Linked DNA regions of Caenorhabditis elegans. The protein of the gene in region 1 interacts with the protein of each later gene in a pairwise test. Each region holds a gene or a part of one and is shown in the gene's direction. Other genes may lie near its edges.

Evidence for each region.
Region 2: the proteins of C18H9.1 (region 1) and E02H4.2 interact in a two-hybrid assay, tested with the Caenorhabditis elegans proteins (one large-scale study listed by BioGRID).
Region 3: the proteins of C18H9.1 (region 1) and vet-6 interact in a two-hybrid assay, tested with the Caenorhabditis elegans proteins (one large-scale study listed by BioGRID).

Annotation. Positions count from the first base shown.
Region 1 is NC_003280.10:6,695,941-6,701,998, forward strand, and holds C18H9.1 (uncharacterized protein), read left to right. Parts: upstream 1-3,143; 5' UTR 3,144-3,225; coding exon 3,226-3,396; intron 3,397-3,602; coding exon 3,603-3,755; intron 3,756-3,799; coding exon 3,800-3,925; intron 3,926-3,968; coding exon 3,969-4,093; exon of another isoform or gene 4,094-4,138; coding exon 4,139-4,351; intron 4,352-4,403; coding exon 4,404-4,542; downstream 4,543-6,058. Other genes in the region: C18H9.6 (uncharacterized protein), read right to left, coding at 4,761-4,968, 5,022-5,096, 5,183-5,260, 5,310-5,473.
Region 2 is NC_003284.9:14,275,166-14,284,230, reverse strand, and holds E02H4.2 (MIF4G domain-containing protein), read left to right. Parts: upstream 1-2,604; 5' UTR 2,605-2,631; coding exon 2,632-2,748; intron 2,749-3,177; coding exon 3,178-3,339; intron 3,340-3,393; coding exon 3,394-3,456; intron 3,457-3,499; coding exon 3,500-3,595; intron 3,596-3,688; coding exon 3,689-3,805; intron 3,806-4,601; coding exon 4,602-4,685; intron 4,686-4,728; coding exon 4,729-4,945; intron 4,946-4,999; coding exon 5,000-5,768; intron 5,769-5,816; coding exon 5,817-5,906; intron 5,907-6,010; coding exon 6,011-6,067; intron 6,068-6,114; coding exon 6,115-6,195; intron 6,196-6,833; coding exon 6,834-6,867; 3' UTR 6,868-7,109; downstream 7,110-9,065. Other genes in the region: Degenerin del-1, read right to left, coding at 7,191-7,345, 7,397-7,521, 7,705-7,885, 8,230-8,347, 8,402-8,661, 8,925-9,016, 9,061-9,065.
Region 3 is NC_003279.8:13,267,502-13,274,701, forward strand, and holds vet-6 (Very Early Transcript), read left to right. Parts: upstream 1-2,482; 5' UTR 2,483-2,498; coding exon 2,499-2,790; intron 2,791-2,844; coding exon 2,845-3,675; intron 3,676-3,734; coding exon 3,735-4,070; intron 4,071-4,118; coding exon 4,119-5,191; 3' UTR 5,192-5,281; downstream 5,282-7,200.

The DNA of each region.
Region 1 (6,058 bases):
CTGAATCCAGAGTTCGATTACCGGAACAAGAGAAAACAACTTTTTGAATATTTAGATTCTAGAAAAATTCTAAATATTGGAGATTCATTGTGTGATTTTGGTGTTTGAACATATCAAACATCTGTTTTTATCGTTACTTATCTTTTATGGTCTTTGAATTGAAAATGAAAAAAAGACAAAAACACGGTTATAACACGCAGAAGGAAACTATATTGTTATCTGACTCAAAAGAAATATGGTTTTTACTTTTTAATTTCAAATTTTAAAAAAATCAAAAGAAACCTGTGACCTGAAAACGGGTGATGGCAAGAAAATTGTCTTCATGTTCCAGTTGCTTCAATTTTTCGCTGGAAAATTATTTTGTAGGTTCTAGGCAATTGATACTGTCATGGAGGAGACTTGGAACTTGAAATGTATAAATTAAATTGTTGCGTTTGATTCAATTGTCTCTCATAGAACGTTTCAACACAAAGGATTTACCAAGAAGCTCCTTCACAACTAGATTTACGTTTGCATGGAAAAAAGGCTACTGTTTCTGTTAGTAAAATACTGAGCTTGTCTGAATAATTTTTTTAAGGCATTGATTAAAAGATTTGAAAAAACCTTGCATTGAAAATTGAACTTATATCAAGAAATCAAAAGGTTCACATGTGTTCATGTTAATTCAAAACCATTACATTGAAATTCAAAACTGTCCTATAATCTGTTTTTGACCACTCTACGTGTAAAATAAGCAAACTCATGACTTAGTTTTCAGTATCTTCTTGGGATTATACATTTTAATTTCGAGAACGGGAGGGCAAACGACTAGTGATTTACTATGCAGATTTGAATGCAAACCGCATGTTTTTTATTGGACTGTCCTAGAAATGTGTGCACTCAGAGGACAGTTTGAACATCACCTAGCAAGTTTTTGTGAATATAATGGACGATCTTAAAGTGGAGTAGGGTGAATGAAGATTTTTAAATCTAGAACAGTTTGAAGCTCAGAAATATTTTATATTTTCAAATGGGACTAATTCCTTTGTTTGAATTTCCTCCAAAGTGAGAACTGCAAGACAAATCAGCGATACCATCCGTACACTTGAAAATACTTGTAGACTCCGAAATCATTGCCTGTTCGTTTTTATTTTCGTTCATGAGAAATTCAATAAAATTGAAGTATAGGAAAAAAACGAGACTCTGTGTACGCTCAGCGGACCAAATAAATTGCGAAACTCACTAAGTTGCGTATTTTCAAACTGACGAATCTTGAAAAATACACATCTAGGAAACAAATGTTCAACTAACAAAATGCTTAGAAATATTTTTTATTGCAAAATACCAATTAATTGTTGAGTTGCACACAGTCAAACTCATTTTATCAGAAACCGCCGAAATTTTTGAGATAGTTTCTGCTCTAACAGTCATAACCCGATTTTCATTGAGTTTCAGAAGAAAAATTTTGCTAATCAGTAAGTAAAAAATATTTTGCCACATTTTTTCAGTTTTAAGTTTTTTTATATTTTCATGTTCAGCCAAGTTGCAGACCGTTTTCTGAAAAAATCCAATTTTCCCCATAAAACTCTTCATATTCAACGCAGAATCTTGAAATTTGGACGAAACATCGCACTTTTTGGTGCTCTATCAGGTTCCATCAAAAAAATTTTGAAAAATCTACAAATGTCCAAAATCGTCCTCCGCTCCGAAAAATGAAATCGGATGTTTGCCTTTCGGAAAATGACCAAAAAATGAAATTGGGATATTGGGGTCGAAAAATATGTTTTTCGAAAGCTGAGAACACGTTATTCACGAATTTCATGTTCATTTTTCATGAACTTCTGTTTTAAATGACCTGAAATTAAAATATGAAGCAAATTTTGTTCTCACGTGACATTTTTTTCGCTTAACAGCAACTGGAAACTCATTTTAAGCAAATAAAAAAAAATCACGTGGGAATGAAAATAGGGTCATGTTTTAATTTTAGGTCACTTCACAGAAGAAATCATGAAAAAAGAACATGAAATTCGTAAATAACGTGTTCTCAGCATTCTAAAAACATTTTTTTCAACCCCAATATCCCAATTTTACTTCTTAGTCATTTTCCGAAAGGCAAACATCCGATTTCATTTTTCGGAGCGGAGGACGATTTTGGAGATGTGCAGATTTTTCAAAAAAAATTTTGATGGAACCCGACGGAGCACCAAAAAGTGCGATGTTTCGTCCTATTTTCAAGTTTCTACGTTGGATATGAAGAGTTTTATGGGGAAAATTGGATTTTTTTCAGAAAACGGTCTGTAACTTGGCTAAAAACGAAGATATAAAAAACTTGCAATTGACAAAATGTGACAAAATATTTTTCATATATTATTCAACAAAATTTTCTTTCTTATTTTCAATGGCTGTTTGATTATTACAGGTACAACAAAAAAGTTCTCAAAAATTTTTGTGACTTTTGGTAAAATGGCTTTGACTCTGTGTAACTCAACACAAATTGGTATTTTGTAAGCGACTTTAAAAAAGTAACATTAAAAAAAGAAAACATATTTGTAATCATTTTGGTAGTTGAACATTTGTTTGTGAGGCGTTTATTGTTTGAGATAAACCAGGTTGAAGATATGTAATTTAGCGAGTTGAGGAAGCTTTTTTTAAAAATTATATGACGTGGTGAATTGATTATATAACCATTCTTACCTGAAAACTGTTTCAGAGCGCCACAGCTGCAAATTTCACACTATGATTAATGAATGTTTTTTTTAAGTGGTCTATAACTTTCTGATTTATTGTGGTAATTTTTCACACCTTATTACTCGTTTTTATAGTCATTCTTGTAATTTGCCGATTTAAAATTTTTTTCACAAGTTTCAATCCATTTCGTGACTCGAATCACACCTCTCATTATTTGCGTGTTCCTAATATGTCTGAACCTTTCTTGGTTTGATATGGAACATTATAAAAACTGATCTGATTGATCAAAGTGATAATATAGATAGCACGGGAGGATCAAAGTTTGCATTTGATGATATACACACAAATATGTGCTCCAAGAGAGAAAAGAGCAGGTGTCAGGTTTGGAGCACAAAAAGAGCAAATAGAAGTGGACGGATGCAATTGCGGTTAAGAAATAGAAAATGGACAATAGGCAGAGAAGACACATTTTTGTTATTGGTGTTCCTCAGAAATATTAGATTTCTGCTTCTTTGACAAGAACATTCTTGAAATTAATAATAGTTATTCTACATTAATATGCAGTTATCCATTATCGTCCTATTAGTTTTACCAATTTCTTCATATTCATTTATTGTCGGAGGATGTATTGGGCCGAAATCTGTACTCGAAAGGTTTCTCAATGATAAACAGAAAACTGAATTGAGAAAAATGGTTCATAACAAGTTTGATGGGTCAAATGCAGAACAGGCAAGTTTTATTTGAGTGACTGGTTAAATTTGAAATAAAAAGTATACATTCGTTCTTCTAGTTTGTCATCAAATCATTTTGAAACATTTGAAAAACTGAACATTTATAATACATGTCTGACGATTTTTTTTTTGAATGATGATCTGGAAATACATCTAAAAATGAAACCACATCGGTATTTACGATCAAATCACGGTACATTTCAGGTCCTTGAAGAATCGAATCGTTACGTGTATGGCCACGTCACTGAAGAACAATGGCATTCAATTGTTCCTGAATTGGCAGAATATCAAGCAAAAAAGCATGAATGCTCGGTTTACGCTCAACTTTTGCCAAAACCATTATATCAACAATTACTGGTATTCAGGCATTTTTAAGAAATACAAAAGTACTAATTTTCTAGAAATCAGTACTTCGAGCGTCTGAAATGGGTGCATCGAAATATGACGTCAAACGATTAGTGGATGATTATGTGAATCGGCTTGCCAAAAACGGTGTTCTACCTGATGTTATAGATAAAGAACCTATAGTAAGTACTACATTTAATTGTTGTCAAAAATTTTAAATTCCAGCTTCCACGTGTCACACTTCCGGAATCTGAAATAACATCACAATCGTATCGAAAATACCCGAAAAAACCGAAAGCAATAGGAAAAGTTGGAAGTACCGGTGGAAATAGAAATGGAATGGGTGCCATGTTAGTTTTTCAGATAAGAATTAAAATTTATTGATTATATTGCAGACATCCAACTCTGATCAGTTATCCAGAAGAGCAAAGAAAGACAAATAGTCGGGTTAAAAATAATAGGAGTAACTATCATATTGGAAATATTGGGAACATTGGTGGAAACATTGGAAATGGTCAAAAAATGAACAGGAATAAAAATGGAGGAAGAAATCAAGGAGGAAATCATCCGGATAATATGGGAATTCCAATGTTCCCCATTGCTAGACCGTAACCTTTTTCATTTAAAATTCTGCCAATGTTGCCTAAATTTATATTTCAGAACACCGTATGATCTTGCCGAATACATTGAACGAGGTTTGAACACTGGAAGATCCAATCACAGAACTCCACAAAATTTCCGAAGATATCCAGAACATGAATGTGACTATTATGCGGGACCGTGTGCCACATCATTCTAATTTTATTAATTTTTTGATAGCTGTATATTTTTCACATTTTCCTAATACGTGTAACTCAACGAGGGTGTCTCCGATTCCGCCTTTTCAACGACGTTTATGTTTCAATTTAAATAAACGTTAAATTCATAAAAAGTATTTTGTACCTCGCAAACACATATGAATATTTAAACCAAAATTGGAATAAAACATTATTTATTTTAGTTATTTCAGAATTATGCTTACAAATGACAAATAATTCTTGAAATCTGTTCAGCAACCCATTTTCCGTTAGAATCAGTTGCAGTGAAATACCAATCTGGGCTCTCAGCCAAAACTTCCAGGTAATTTGGATTTGGTCCAATCGAGACCACGATCGAACGGAAATTGTATTTTTGTTGAAGTTGATGCATATAACTGGATGCACTTCCATCAAATGCAGCTATATCACTAAAAAGGTAAAACTTTGGAATATGTAAATAGTTGTTATAATTGTAACTCACTCAACGCCGACGGTGACCAGGATATTAGTGGATGAAGTTCCTGGATCGCGTTCCTCAAGAATATATTCATATGCTCTGAAAATTTTGATAATGAAGAAGTCTACATTTCAAGCTTCTAAATTGCAAAAACCGGCTGTTAAACATAAAAATAAATTGAGTACCTCTCAATCTTTGGGTCAGTCAGAACCATAACTTCACTGTATAATTGATCAATATTTATGTCCAAAAGTTCAGTGCTCCTGAAATTAAAAAAAATAATTAGGACCAAAATTCAAGATAAGAACTCACGTAGCATCTGGATAATGAAGTATGTAATTTTCATAGACACCTGAATCTGGATATGGTACATTAATAGCTTGAGTGCTCCCATCTTCAAAATTGTAGTTTGTAGAATTGTAAAGATATTTCTGAATGAAATTAAGAACTCCCTGTGTTTGTGGAAGCTTTGTCATTTCGTAAGCCAACGCGATTTTTCCATTGAATTTTTTGGTGCATGGTGGGAAGTTCACTTAAAAATTGATTGATTAAATATCTGGAAATATAGTGGAAATCTGAAAATTCAAAATTTCGCGCTATTTTGGCAAGCTGGCTTGGGTGGTTTTGGAATATGTATGAAGTAATAGGTTTGTGTAGCCAGGAAATAATGGTTATCAGTTGAATGGTCTCAGTGCATTCATGCGTTGGGTTTTATAGTTTTCAAGTCAGGAAATGATTTTTTTGATTAGAGACGGAAGTTGAGAGACTGTCGGACAAAGTTTAAAATTTTAAGAGGTAAAATGATGACATTATTCTGAAAGGCGTCTGTAGTGTTTAAAGAAATTATGATGACTACAATAATCATAATCACTTAAAAAACTATAAGATTTTTTGGAAACTTATCACTTTACAGTTCTTTGAAATATAGATAACATTTTGATTTAGATCATACAAAGATTGCTGCCCAACTTTTAATTATTACAGTTTACAGAGGTCATCTTTAAAATTTTTATGCTAGTTAAGTTTTGAATTCAAATATTGGAAGATGGAGTTAAAAAATA
Region 2 (9,065 bases), on another chromosome or scaffold:
TATTTGATGTGTAACTTTTTTTTTTGATTTGCTTGCCGAAAGTTGAAAGTCGAAGTCGAATGAAAAATTATTGATTTAAAACCTGTGATTTTGTTCCCAAAAATTTAGTAAAATGACTTAAAATTGAAATTTTTTTTGACGTTTAAACAGATACACTACACGGTACTTATTCAGAAACCAGATGTGTGTTAAGAATTCATCAGTTTTGGTGCTCCAAAAAACTATCAAAAAATATCAAATTTTTCGAAGTTTGATAAGAGGCAAATTTGCCAAATTTGCTTTTCTCGGCAGATATTGGAAAAAGAGAATTTCCGAATTTTCCGAGCTCGGCAAACTTTGACATTTGCCGCATACCTCTGCTTTGCAGTTTAGGTCCTAGTTTTAAGTTTAAACGAGTTTTAGACCAAATTGCTGTTTGAGTTGGAGAGGTCTTTAGGATAATATATATATATATATGATATTGAAAGGTATTAAAAAACATGATGATAACCAGAAATGTACCTGCTAACCCCTATTATTTGCAAGTGACCAACAAAATCCGTTCATTCAATTGATACTAATTTTGGAGTCACTGATGCACATAAATTTGCACTTTTCTTGATTCTGACTATGAATCGAACGACAAAAGCCATTTATTGTATCGTGGGAATATGTTCAAACTGAGAAGGAGAGTACAACAAAATGCCAATATTATCACTCACATAAAACTCATGTTGACTTTCTCTGGTTTTGACGTCTTTCTATTTACAATTACTAGACAATTAGAAAGAAAGAGACCTCTGGATTTTTAATTTTAAAAATTCAAATTCTCATAATAGACAGCATTTGTTTTTTTGTGAAGTTTTTTCCCAACAAAAGATGTACGCGGAACGTTTTCACAAATTGACATTGTTTTGTTTTCCCTAAAACCATTAACTTCCGACATGTCTCTGTTGGCTTTTCTTCTAGTCACCATCAAGACGACATAACATTTCAATGTATAAAATGGAATTAACAAATTTTATTGAAACTTCAATTTTCTCTTGTAGTTTTGTATCAAAGTGCCTAACTTTGTTTCAAAAAATTTCCACACTAACATTCAATCAAAGGTATTTTTAAACTTCGAGCTAGAAGTTTGTATTTTTGTTTCAAAATACATCATCTTACTTTATTCTTTTCTAGTTGCAAAATCCTAAAGTTCAAATGATGCATAATTGAGTGTATGCTTGTTCAGTTTTGCTGCATATTACCAAAACTAATTATGCTTCTGATTGTTTTAAGGTTACAACACTTTGAATTTGCGTCAATTGTTTTACAATTCTTTATATAGATTTTTAATTGAGTTAAAAATCACCGACTTCCGTTTTAAAATGCCCCTATTCTTACAAAAATTTTAAATTGAATTATCCGCACAATTTATTGTGTGCCATGCCTGTTTATATTACCAAACTGTCATATTTTCTTATGCACTGTAATTTTAACAATGTAAAGTTTTTCACTCGACGTACTATTTTTTTTTGAATTGCAGTAAATTTTGCAATATTTTTGTTTTTGAAAAACTGGCAACCTGAGGAAAACGGAACTGTTTTGTAACTTCAAAGAAGCAATTTTAGAAATTTGCAAAAGTCTGAATTCTAAAATTCTAGTTCAAATCCTTGTGATGTATAAATTATCCTGTCATCTTGGAGATTTTGGATAACATTTTGAATGTATCAAAATGTTAGAATCTGGTTTCTCGTGAAAAATTAAATTTCATTACATCTCAGAATGTTTCACGATTTTGATCTACATCTAATATATATAACAGGTAAACTTGTTCAAAAATTGATTTTATAATAGTTTATATTATGGGCAGCCCGTGAAGCTTGAAATGAGTAATTTAAAAAAATAAATCCGCTGCACGTTTAGCTTAATACTTGAAAAAAAGTTGAACAGTTCTATCTCATCAAATACATCTTTAATCTCTTTTTTTTTGACTTTTGCTTTGTTGCCATAAAGCTATTTCAAAATTGTACCATATGGCAAATGAATGCTTTTAAGGTTTGTTGTTGAACAAGAATATTCGTTAGCCCTCTTTTCGGAAATGTATGCGCTTACATATGATCTTTCAAAACTCCGCCTCTTTTCTGTCTGCGCCATAGCTTCTCTGTGCTCTCTTTTCTACAGTCAAATGTCTTATGCTCATTTTTTTTCAGTTGTGGATCTTGATGTCTCCTCCTTTCCGTTCTCTCGATTTTATTTTTTGCTATTCTTTGGAAAGGCGTCAATTTATTATAGGCAACGCGTGAGCTAAATTTTGAACTTTAGTATAAAAAAAGCGACGAAACAATGCGATACAAAAGCTTGTTCTCATTTACAAAACTGACATTTTACGTAGAGACTCAAGTCTTGGCAAAATTTTAATCACACGAAATTTTATAAAAGTCTGAAAAAAGCTGTGAATAATTTAGATAGCCTCGAACACATGCAGAAGTGTGCAAAACTGATAGAATGCTAATATAATGTTTGAAAATTTTTAACAGTGTGTACCTAGATTTAGTCACTAAAGTATGTGCTATGTTACAATTCTTCTATTTTTTTTTCATATATCCTTTTATTCACTGGTGGGCCATAAAAATATATCTCAGATTGATCATATTTAAATCTCAAACGATGGAAGCCAATTCTAACAGAATAAGCTTTGTGAACCCAACTCAGACCCCACAATACGGTTTAAATGAAGAATTCAAAGGAGATCCACAGTCAACGATTAAAAGTCCAGAAACGCGGGTATGTTTTTTTTCAATCTTTTGAGAGATATAAACTGTGCTTGTTTTAAAGTAAATGGAAAAAATATGAGACATGGTCTTGCGAGCATTTTTTGTTTTTGCCAGTTTAGTGGGGATGAATGTTTACCACTGTCCTTAATTTTGTGACAGATGTTCTTCCTCGTACCGCACCGGCACGAGCACTGGCCGGTGTTTTTTTTTCAAAATCTCCACTCACACTAAAACATGAATAACACCAGTTGCTTTTGTTGATTAATGCTCGATTTTCAAGTTATGCAAAAAAAAAAATTAAGGGACTTAATGAAAATGCGTGCAATGAAAATGAAAGAGTATTTTGCTGTGCTCACATGGAGATACAGAATATCATTGGTTCATCCTCACCCAAAAATTTAAAAATTTTTAATTTATAATATTTTGAGTGGATTTCCAGCTTCCTGCCAAGTATGAACGTTTTGCTCCACAGATGACTACATACTACACATTCCCTCCAGCGAACCCGGCGTTTTTCTCGCAACCGATGTATCCCCAAAGTTCGTGGATTCCGGAAACTCAAAATCCTTTAGTGTATTTTCAAGGTGCTCCCGTGGTGCAGGTAATTTAAACCAGATAATTATAAATTTAAATGTTGTTTCATGTTTGAATTCAGGATTATTCTACATTTTCATCAGCCCCATACCCATCTCAACCACCCAATAATTGGAATGTTCAGGTTCGGACTTTTATTGACACATTTCGAAATTAAAATGTTACAGAATTTTACAAGCTACCAATATGCAAACCAAAATCACCCAGCACAACTGCCACATCAAAAATACTACAATTCCGAGCAATATGCTTTACAAAGTCAGGTAAAAATCAGAATTTCAATTGAGAACAATTACGTGGCATTCCACATTTTTTAAACCTACCATAATCAGACCATGGACGGAAAATTTATTCAGCCATGTAATCAATACCAAATGAACAAGTTGTGTTGTGTATCTCCTCCTTATCAGTACCAACCAAGGACTCCAAATGCTCAAAGCTCGCCGAACCTGAAGGACCTGAATTATTTGGATGTAAGAAAGAAGTTTAATGTTTTACAATTAAATTGAATACGTTCAGTAAAAAAGTAGTGATTTTGGAAGTTATTGTAATAAAAAAAATAGGTCGGAATGAAAAATATAAAAGGTTGACTCAGAAAACTCGAAAGCTGATGCTCACTTAAAAAAAATCGGAATTTTCCTGCAATCGGCAATTTTGGCAATTGTCAGTTTTCAAATATTTTGGCAATTTTGGCGATTGTCGGTTTTCAAATATTTCGGCAATCGGGGATTCCGAAAATTGCCGAAATTGCTGATTGCCGGACATTTTCGGCAATTTTCAAACATAATTATAACTCAAAAAATGAAAAAAAAAATCACCTTGTTAGTATTTGGTTAGTCATTTTCTAATAGATAACGGCCAAAACTTTCAGGATTTAAACATTTTAAGCTTGAAAAGAAAACATCTTCTTTTAAATGCATGTTTAGACTCAAAAATTTACAAAACGTATTAAATTTATGTTCCCGGCAATTCTGGCTTCCGGCAATCGGTAATTCCGACAATTGCCGGTTTTCAACATTTTCGGCAATCGGCAATTGCGGCAATTGCCAAAACTGCCGAAATTGGCGAAAATTCGATTGCCAAACGACAATTGCCGCCACCTCTGTTTCAAATGTAATTTTGCCCTTTCCGTAAAAAAATAATCAATACGTTCATTGTTCATCTCTCCTTGAGATCGTAACAAAACTACCTAAGTGAAATATAATTTTATTTAAATTTTAACTAGTGTCAAAAAAAAAAATTTCATGAAAATCTTAATCATCTTTACAGCATTTGACTCCGTTTTTATTCCCACCGGACATTACTTCTCAATACAGAAAACATAATTGCCGAGGAAACAACCGTAACTCCAAGGTATCAATATTGATTTATTTCATTTTTGAATTGAGTTATTTAGACTAGCAATTTCCGGAGAAACGACAGGAAAAACCAACATGGCCATAACCAAAACCGTTCAAATCAAGTATCCAGACAGCATTTGCCAAACAATAATGCATCATCTTCATCCTCCTCATCAGGTGTCGTTTCCGAATTACCGCTGTCTCCTAACAAGACTGAGCTTAAAATTGTCATATCTCATGGAAATGAAACAGTTTGTGTTCTGAAAACAAAAGGTAACAAGAGTCCGATACAATTTTTTTCTGTTTTTAAATTCATCTCTCGTTCAGATATTGATGGATGCAACGCTCAACAACTTTCGAATGTTGTTGAAATTCCTATGGTACTTGCTCCCTCCCTCTCAATACAATCTACTGACTCGTTCAACTCGGCTTACGAAGATGCCGAAGAATCTTTAATTCAACCACAAACTAAAAAGAATGAAGGTGACGCTTATGGAAAATATAATTCAACGCTCACAAATTGTCAAACAAGGAACCAATCGGAGAAAATGAAATCATCGCAATGCTTGATCGCAGATGTCGCCGAGAATGAGAGCCCGAATGAGACAGGGCCTGCTGAATTCAATATTTTTTGTACTGTACCGGAACAATCTTCTAAACGCTCAGAGCCCGACGTTATAGTTTCTGCTGCAAAATCAGTTACTGAAGTTGAAAATACAATACTTGCTGAACATGATACCGCTACTGCTGAAAACTTTTCGAACAACGATGAACCAATTCTTCTTAGCGTTACTAATCTTCACGATGAAACAAATAACAAATCAATAGATGTATCACTGAATCACCCATTGCCACCTTCGACAGAAACTGGAGTTGTCAGCGGCAAAGTTTCACAATTGGAGGCACCAATCAGTACAATTGTGCAGGAAACGATCCGAATCCTCGCCGAGAGAAATCTACTCCGTGACATCAATGACTTTCATCAAGAAATACATTTGAATGTCATGCAAGAAAATATTGGACAGTCTCTAGATCATGCTGCAATAGAAAATGAGGAACATCCAGAAACTGAAAGTTCCTTTGAAAGTTCAAGCGGGTAAGTTTTTTTAAAATGAAATTTCTTACGAATATTATGATACTCCAGTAGTTCCAACCCTTCTGTCCCCATTGAGATTGATCAAAAAATGCAATTCAACAAAAACAATCCATGGGAAAAATTGGAACAATATACTCCGTGAGTTTACAATAAATATTAATTGAAAACAAATTATTATTTTTGACATTCATGAAATTCAATTTAAGTTCTGAGTTCAACCGCCATTGTCATTAAAATTTCAGACCTTCAATCATTATAGTCTCGTGCGCAGATTCTTCACAAAGCCCACACAAAGCTTCGTAAGTTGACAACGGAAGTATTTTTTATAATGCACATCATGTTTTAGAACTCTCAAAAACCCCGGTTACGGCTGCTGTTCGGGCATTGGCAAGAAATCAAAATACAATAAGAAAGTTGACAAGAAAGAGTGAGTTGAACTAATGTGAAGAATGGTAAACTTGCATACAAACCAGACTTTTAGTCCTGAAAACGATGTTACAAGAATAACATAGGCATAGCTGTTTCGGAGTAAACCCCGGCCCTGATACTGAATAGGAACTAAAAAAAATATTTTACTTATTCACTCATTTGTTACTGAATCATTAACACTTATTAAAAAACCACCTGATCATGAGAATGCATACCGTTCTGGCGCGCGAATATCTCGTAGCGAAGGCACCTAAATCTTACATTTTTGAATGATATCTCGTTGCCGCTTTTTTTTTTCAGAAAATAGGCATTCTCATGAATTCGTGGTTTTTTAATAATTAATCATTCAAATGTGGCGAAAACATCTTGATAGTTTTTTCCTTTTTTTCCTGGGCAGTTATGTTGTCTGTGTACTCTACAGGTTCACTTCTCTCTACAGGCTCACAGGCCATTCTCGAGGGAAAACCTGTCAAGATGTTGTAACGTAGAAATTGAATGTATCAACTATGTTGGTGTAATAACTACTAACTAGCATAGTTGGTACATCATCAATCTTTATGACGTTGGTCGGAAGGATTCATGGCACTACTGATTTGACGTGAAAGTGGATAACGGGACTGAAAATAAATTTTACAGAGTTCTCCACTTGACAAACTTTCAACTAAACTAAGCAACGGAGCTGTGCGTTTCATTCTATCTGTTTTTGTGTTTTTTAGCTCATTCTCATTTTCCTGTATTCTTCAATTACTTTGTTTGTATAATTTTCGTTTAGCAAAATTTGGAATCCCAGTTCGAAATCCGGCCACACAAATCTTCTCTTCAACATTATGTGTATTCAACAGCAACCTTTCCATGTTTTCTCTTGAATATCAACTTTTTACGGTCAAAGTTGATCAAAATAAAATGTATCTTCTTGTGGATTTTTTATGAGCCCGAGTAGACTGTTTGAAAAAAACCTGTTTATTCACATTTGAATTCCACAGAGATCAAAAATCAATTATTATTTGTGGATACTCCTTTTTCCGCATCATTCAATTCTTCAGCTCGTAATAATTCCGTTTTCTGCCTCCATCTTCTTGGCTTACATGCAATTCCAAGAGTTCGGACAGCGAAGAATAAAAACTCAATCACGCTCATAATGCTTGCGCCTGAAAAATTCACTTTTTGAATTGCGAGTTACTCAAATTGTTTAAAATCACCTAAAAACAAGCCAGCTTGGCCACCCATATCGGCCATCAAGTTGAACCAAGAATACGACTCAGATTCTCTCAATATCTCATAGCTCATTTGTTCATAATAAATTTCAATCATTGCGGCGTGTTCTCTGAAAATCGATTTTTTGTCATTAACTGTCAACTAATTTATTTGAGAATAAATGTATTTTAGAAACAAAACCATTTTTCAAGTTACATGTTATATCCAAAAATTCTTTAAAAAAATGTTTTCTGATATTTGCCGAGACATGATTATTATCAGGTTTTTACATAGAGTTTAAAACAGTGCAAACCTTAAATAAGAATTGCAATCTTTTGAATGATTGTCACACGATGTTTGTATACTTCCGCTCGGCCACTTTGCTGCTGAATACGTTGTTGTGTATTGATCTTGCTGGCATGGCTGAATACATTTGCAGTGCTTCTGATTTTCTTTTGTTGACAATTTGGCACCTTCTGTCGTGAGGCAGTTTACTGTAAAAATTGATATTGTGAGTTAAACAATCTTTTAACACGAGGTGGGTCAAACACGGAACTTTGGCTAAGCCGATGTAAAATTTGGTCCGCTTTGTTCCACTTTAAGCTAAGCGTTTTCAACTTCTAAACTACGTTAGGAGCAATTATCAGGCAAGAAATTCCCACTAAATGTCGAATAGCTTTATCCTATTCACTCAACTACAAGTGTTTTACACGGAATCAATTCAATTGTCTCGTATCACTTAATCTTTTAACTTGTTCCGACTATCATTTCTTTCATTACACGAGTTTATTCTCATGAAATATTATTTAAAATGACATTAAAAATCTTAAAAACTTACAGGTTGTGGTATTAGTGCTGTCACACCAAGCACTTCTTTTCCAGGGTTTCGGATATCTAGGGTCCGCACAACCACACTTTGCAATTATTCGATATTGGTAGCAAGAACGAAAGCACCCCTTCAAGTGTATCATATAATGTAACATATCAAGTGAATCACTAAAGCAACTTACTTCTGGCTCATACTTATAACCTTTGTAAATACTTCTCGATTGTGGATTATCCTTTTGCAAGCAGTTTCCATATGGTTGAGGGAGACGGTTAATATTTCTTAGTGAAATACCAAAAGACGAGATGACGCCTGTTGGTGCAGAATACCCGAAGGTATCAGGAAAAGGGCATTCCTCTTTTCCATGAATTGCAATGCGTACTCCTGTTGCTTCGGTTGTCGGTAGATAATCCGAAGAATTCACAAACATCATCAACCGAAGACCTGAAAAATGCACCGATTTGATCATTAACAACAAAATATTTATATTTTTTCGATACAACCACATTTTCAATATATTATTTTTTAATACAAACTACAAAGTAAAGCGTCATAATAATTCGAATTACATATATATGATAAACGAATAGTGAATTTCATTAACCTGTTAATAAACAATACTGAAAAATTAATTTTAACCCAAGCTATAAGCTATATTTGTAAAGAGAATATTTAACACGAATCAATGAAAAACTGTCAAAACGAACCGTAACTAGGCCCCGCTCTACTGCTGGCCAACTTCTTTTCCGGATTTGCATTGAATGTGTAACAGTTTCCAAATGACGGATCAATGTGAAGTCTGAATAATTTTTTACGCAACCAAGTTTTAATTGAATTTCTTACTTGAA
Region 3 (7,200 bases), on another chromosome or scaffold:
TAGAGTTAACTTGTTCTAATCGGTTCGAAAATCAATGATAAATCAACCAAATATTGAATTTGTTCAATAAAATGTTTTTTAAAACTTTTTTAAAGCAATAATAATCCCAATATTTAATTATTTTTTCCAAATTTCATCTTGAAAACTCGAATAATCGCGAAATTTCGCGTGAAATTCATTTAATACCGTAAAAGTGTGCAAGCGCGCTCCGTTGGACTTTTCAATTCTCGATTTTCACAACTCTCCCGATTTGGGGCGCTGTGCGAAAAGTTATTATCTACAGAAAGCAGTGATACTTTTTCAGAAGAAAAGTTACAGATTTCCAGAGGTTTTGGGCAGAATTTTATTTCAGATTCTGGTAGCTGATCACATTGTTTACCCCTACAAAAAAGTAAACTTTTATCGTACAGGCAAGTCATTATACAGTGCGTCCAACTTCTATAGCACCCCCCTCCAATTTGGCGGTTTGGAGCTTCTCAAAATATTTTTTGAAAAAGTGCTAGTGCAGTTCGATAGCAAATGTTGAAAAACCTATGCTCCCCAATTTTCATTATGATATCTCAAAAATCACAGGAATTAGGTCAAAATATCGGAAAAATGGCCGTCCAACTTCTATAGCACCCCCTCTGATTTTTGGCAATTTTCGGTAAAATCGGGGTTTTCTTCTTAATTAATAAATTTATTTTGTGAATAACTTTACAACAAAATGTTCAGACGGTTTCATTTTCACATTTAAAAAATAAATATAACCCCTGAAAACACGTGGAACGCCTAGGATTGTCCTGGAACGTTCGTATTTGCTTCAGAGGCCATTTCTCGGCTCCCAATGATTTTCGCAGCACCAAACTTGACCAAAATGATCTTCCCCACCTATTTATTACTATTCAAATAATTGTTGAAAACATTTATTCATATGAACCAAATGGTAAAGGGAGCAACTGCAGTGATTTTCAAAAGGCTTGATTTAACTATGAAAACTAGCGTTTGGAGGCGCAGAGCTGATGGTTTTGACTTCCTATTGTACAGAATTTTAGCTCATCCGGTTCAAATATCCTTGAAGCTTTGATTTTGATTAGAAGTCTTCGAAAATTTATTCGGAAAAGTTCATGAGACCGCTCAAAAGAGGACAAAGGCAAAGCGAGGCCGCAAGTATTTTTCTCAAGCTAACACGCGAAAATTTTAAAGACGAAAGTAAGATATAACTTTCTGAATGGCGATTTTTCTAGCTGTATTTATAACTCAACTGAAATTTAGCGAATTTGCTCATTGAATATTTCTATGGTCAAAGAACCTAAAAGCTAACAGACAAAACCTGAATCGGTGAATGTAGATGTCTAGCATTTGATGTATCCATGGATTTCCACAGATTTGATGTTCACATAATATAATTTTTTTTTTTTGCTATAATTTAGTAATTCTTAGTCGAAAATGTATTACCAACCTTCAGCTCTGCGCCTCCAAACGCTAGTTTTCATAGTTAAATCAAGCCTTTTGAAAATCACTGCAGTTGCTCCCTTTACCATTTGGTTCATATGAATAAATGTTTTCAACAATTATTTGAATAGTAATAAATAGGTGGGGAAGATCATTTTGGTCAAGTTTGGTGCTGCGAAAATCATTGGGAGCCGAGAAATGGCCTCTGAAGCAAATACGAACGTTCCAGGACAATCCTAGGCGTTCCACGTGTTTTCAGGGGTTATATTTATTTTTTAAATGTGAAAATGAAACCGTCTGAACATTTTGTTGTAAAGTTATTCACAAAATAAATTTATTAATTAAGAAGAAAACCCCGATTTTACCGAAAATTGCCAAAAATCAGAGGGGGTGCTATAGAAGTTGGACGGCCATTTTTCCGATATTTTGACCTAATTCCTGTGATTTTTGAGATATCATAATGAAAATTGGGGAGCATAGGTTTTTCAACATTTGCTATCGAACTGCACTAGCACTTTTTCAAAAAATATTTTGAGAAGCTCCAAACCGCCAAATTGGAGGGGGGTGCTATAGAAGTTGGACGCACTGTATACCCTAGTTTGAAATTGCTTGGCAAAGTAAGATGAAACATTAAAAGAAAAGGCACTGTAATTCAGCAAAACAGACTTGACTGTACGTCCCAATTTATTGCAAGAGTGGGAGAATATTAGTGTCATTTGACAGATGCTCAGTGTTTTTCTAGATATTCGGTCTCCTGGGACTCCACTATAAGAGGGTTGCCATCGTCTCCTTTTCAGACAATGGCAGGCTCCTCCTTTGTCCAGATAAATCACTTTATGGGTAATCGATAACCCAAAACGCGCAAATGGAGTCTGACAGATTTCAGGCACCTTACCACTCAGTCTTCCAGTCATTCAATCTTCAACTGCCCTTCCTGGTTGGTGAGCTGGTTTTTTCTTTCCTTTTTTCAATTATTTTCCTTATTTTTCTGTTACCTGTTTTGTCGTATTGTCTTGTCTAGAAGATTCTAATTATCTTCAATTTCCAGAAAGTAAACTCCAACGATGAGTTCCAACTCTGCACTTGAATTGAAATCTGCTCTCTCACAACTCAATCGCGAACGTTCTGAAATGGTCAAAGATCTGGAAAAGGCACAAAAAGACTATGTGGCTGCAAGAAACATGCACAAGTCTACTGGCTCTCAAAATCACCTTGAAGTTGTTAACACATGCTGGAAGAATGTTCAAGCGGCACAAAAAGCTCATCAGAGCAAAGTAGAAGAATTTCATATGGTTCGCCGTTCATTCGCGGATGCAGTGAGGGAGAGTCCGGAATCTTGTTCTATTAAAAATCGAGGTCAGTTTTCATTACTCTTTGAAGATTATAGATTTTCTAATCCTTTAATTTCAGAAAGCAATCCATCTTCAACCAATGATCAAGATTTAGCCGCCAAAAAAGCTGTTCTGGATGCCGAATTCCGAGAAGAAGCCATCAGAGACGGAGTTTTTATCCCAACTCAACGATACAACTCTACACTTCCACCACCCTTGGTTCGAAATGAATATGTTGCCGAACCAAAGAAATCGACCGCTGATGAAGATTTCGAAAAGCGGATGGTAGAGCTTCAACGTCAAGCTTCGAAGTATGCAAAGATTGGTGATTCAGCGGTATTAAAAGATCGCTCAACTGGATTGACAGCTGCTACCATACAGCTCTTCGCAGAATATTTTCCCAAGCGCCGCGAGCTGTCAAACGCTCGAAAAGACTTCATGACAGTACTGAATTTGCATGCTTCTACTGGTTTTCTAAAATACTGTGAAGCGGTTAATGCAAGCAGGAAACACTTAGAAGCGGTAGAAGAGGCTTATCGGAAAACAACCAATGAGCTTTGCAAGGATCTTAATGAATATCCGATGGAGTCTGATAAAGATGTCAAAGAGCGTGCTTCAAAGTATGCAGAGATCTGTCGTTTAAAGGAATCAGAAGATCAACTTTTGGATCTGCTAAAGCCGGCATCCAGCGAATTAATCCCGTTGTTCAATGAAATAGTGAATCTGTCCGGCATTCGTACCAAGAAGACACCGACTCAAACCACTGAAGCCTCACAGATTGCTCCAGAAAGCATTTCTACCTCAAATGTAGATCCAGCAACTCAACTAGATCCTGAAACTACCCAGACATCACCGCTCACCTCGGCCCCAGTTTCTTGGTTCAACTCTGAAAGTTCCGATATAAACCAAGGTAATTTAATATATTTATTAATATACGAAACTATAATTAATTATAAAATCTTTTTGCAGACATCACATCATATCCGGATCTAGTACACCACCCTGGTGTAGATTCCGAAAAACAGATGGTCGAGTTTCATCGTCAAGCTTTGAGGCTTTATGAACTTCAGACTTCTCAGACACTTGCTTCTTGTTTTGATTCTGAAAGTCAAGAAGTGAACTCATTGCTCAATAATGCGTTCGTTGAAGCCTCAGAGATTACTGAAGAAAACATTTCGACCACAAATGTAGAATCTACATCACAGTCAGAGCCAACAGAAGTAACTCCAGAAACTACCCAGGAATCAGCACCCACCTCTGCTCCAGTTGTCTGGTCCGAAGCCCCAGGATATGGTGCGAGACAAGGTAACTAATTAAGTACCACAAATCTTTTAATCATATTATTATTTTCAGAATGTAATCCTCGGATGTGCACCAACAGACAACACTCTTCTCCAATCAGGATCCGTCATTGCACATCAAGAAATGTCACAACTTACAGTGTCTATTGCTGGAAGAGACCTTCTCACGTATACACCTACAATCATCAAGAGGAGAAATTCGAGCAGCACAAGTGTCTTGCCTGTGTTCCAAGAGTTCAAGAAAACCACTTATTCCCCACGTGTGCAGTTTGGAACGAGAAAATCTCCAATTTCGTGATTTTCATGGACAATATGGTGACAAAGCAAAAAGATGAGCAGTACATGTTCAGCTTCAAGACTGGGGGATTCGAGCAAGTGAACTATCCGGAGGTGCAACCAGCTCAAGGACCGAAAAACACTGATTTTGTAGCAGCAGTCAATGGAGATGGAGATGATCAAGTGATCATCCAAAAGTCACGATTTGGTGTGAAGAAGCTGGAGTTCAGATATGGAAAGTATGTGAAGATTCCGAGTGTTGAAGTGAGAACTCTTTTGATGAAGGAGCTGGAGGGTGTGGAGATGGTTCAAGAACCATCCAGTACTCTTCCATTATCCACAATCCGCTGGTGTCCAACATACAGTCAGAGTGCTCTCTATATCTTCTCCAGTCGATTGGGACATTATCTCAAGTACGCATTCAACCCATCTACACAGCAATTCGAGCAACTCAACTGTTCGGGATGCCCATTAAATGTTGAGGAATGGCACTTGTGTCCATTATACGCAGAGTACGCTGATTCTATCAAAACCTATGTAATTCATGTCTTCAACGATTTCACAAAGGAGATTGAGAAGTATATGTATTGCGTGACAGGAAAATGTTTCTATCAAGTTACATGTCCGGAAATCGTCTACGATTCATCGAAGGCCCATAGCTCAACAGTGCTTTTCACCGTTTCTGCTCCAAATCACCCATTCACAATTTTTATGAAGGATGTTAATGGAAGAATTAAGAAGGAGCAACTCAACGGGCTTCACAATGGTTATATGGAACTTCCCAGCGCCAAAGTCTACACGTTGTATGCGATGAGATGTAATAATTCGGCTGGAACTACCGGCATCTGAAAATATATTCATTTTTGCAATATTTCCATTTGATTTTCATTGTTCTGACCTGTCCTTTTTTGATAATTAATTTCAATAAATTATGTTTTTTTATTAGAATGCAATTTTATTAGAAGCAATTTATAAGAAGCAAATTTTATTAGAAGCAATGGCTTAGGTTCCCCGAATAGGGCCACTGAGATTCTTAAAATACTTTCGAGCCAGACCTAGGTAAGTAGGGGAAGAGAAAAAATGAAATAATGAGTGGACGAAAAAGTAAAATGACCAATTGGACGAGCTATAGTCTCCGGGAGGTCAAGTTGGGAAGAGGGTGTCGGAGGGAAATAGAGCCTAGGCGCGACGTCTACCGTAGACAGCCCTACCCTAGACTAAAACATGTTTCAGGTGTGTCTCAAACATTGATACACGTCTCAATTTGAATTTGTCCACTAAACGGTATGACTGACATTCCACTTTTTCTGCTTGAACTCAGTGAATATGAAACTTTTTCAAATTTGGTTTCCAAATTCTGAAAGACCACAAAATTTGCAACAAAATGACAGGGATTTTTGAAAATGTTAGTTTAAAGCTAGATATGATTTTTTTAAATTGGAAAAATTGTCGTCTGTCGACAGACGAAAAAATAGATTGACAGACGAAAAAATAGATTGACAGACGAAAAATAGATTGACAGACGAAAAAAATAGATTGACAGACGAAAAAATAGATTGACAGACAAAAAATAGATTGACAGACAAAAAATAGATTGACAGACGAAAAATAGATTGACAGACGAAAAAATAGATTGACAGACAAAAAATAGATTGACAGACGAAAAATAGATTGACAGACGAAAAAATAGATTGACAGACGAAAAATAGATTGACAGACGAAAAAATAGATTGACAGACAAAAAATAGATTGACAGACGAAAAATAGATTGACAGACGAAAAAATAGATTGACAGACAAAAAATAGATTGACAGACGAAAAAATAGATTGACAGACGAAAAAATAGATTGACAGACGAAAAAATAGATTGACAGACGAAAAATAGATTGACAGACGAAAAAATAGATTGACAGACGAAAAAATAGATTGACAGACGAAAAATAGATTGACAGACGAAAAATATTTTAACAGACGAAAAAATAGATTGACAGACAAAAAATAGATTGACAGACAAAAAATAGATTGACAGAGAAATTTCTGATATTTCCGTCGCGATTGGCGATTGGGTCTGAAAACTTTCTTTTTTTACTTAAAACATGTTTGTTTGAGTATATACAAAAAACTTAATTAACTTATTTTATTGAATTTTATTGAAAAAGAGTTCAAGAAAAATCACGTGAACTTCTCCAGATCTTGCCACGAACAGAGCCTTTACTTTACTTTCAACTTTTTCCGTATCCAAGTGAACGAAAATCTATAAATTTTTAATGAATCTAAATCTAATCATCGATATTTTGTTGCTCGCTTCAAGTGCAAGTCTTCAGACGATAAGTAAGTGTTGACTTTTGAAAATTTCGAGCTGTCTGAAGGTCAAGTCAAGTGGCCCGCCTCTGGCCCGGAAAACCAAAAAATAAAACTGGCCTTTTAAATTTTCAAGCTGTCAGCATTCATTTTGGCATTACATCTATAAGGGATTCAAACCCATTTCCGATCTTAAACGATAACGGAACTGGCCTACCCAAAGATCCCTTCCTTTTAACTACTCGTTTCAGAATGTCCTGACGGAAGTATAGTAGACAATTGGTGCTCTGATCTTCAAGAATGCCCGAATGGAGAGTTTTGCTATCGAGATATTCCAAAACGCATAAGCAATAATGAGACAAAATTCGGATGTTGCAGTAAGTTTCTTCGTATCTCCCCCATGGGGACCCATTGCATTTTATTCTTTCAGAAGCTAGCTGCACTGAAACTTCAATGCCATTCGGAAAGGATTATGAAGAGGCTACGGAGTCGATAATAGCTTTTTGTACTGAAAAGTCAAACATTTCATATCCTCAACGTGCTTTTTCAAGCAAAAA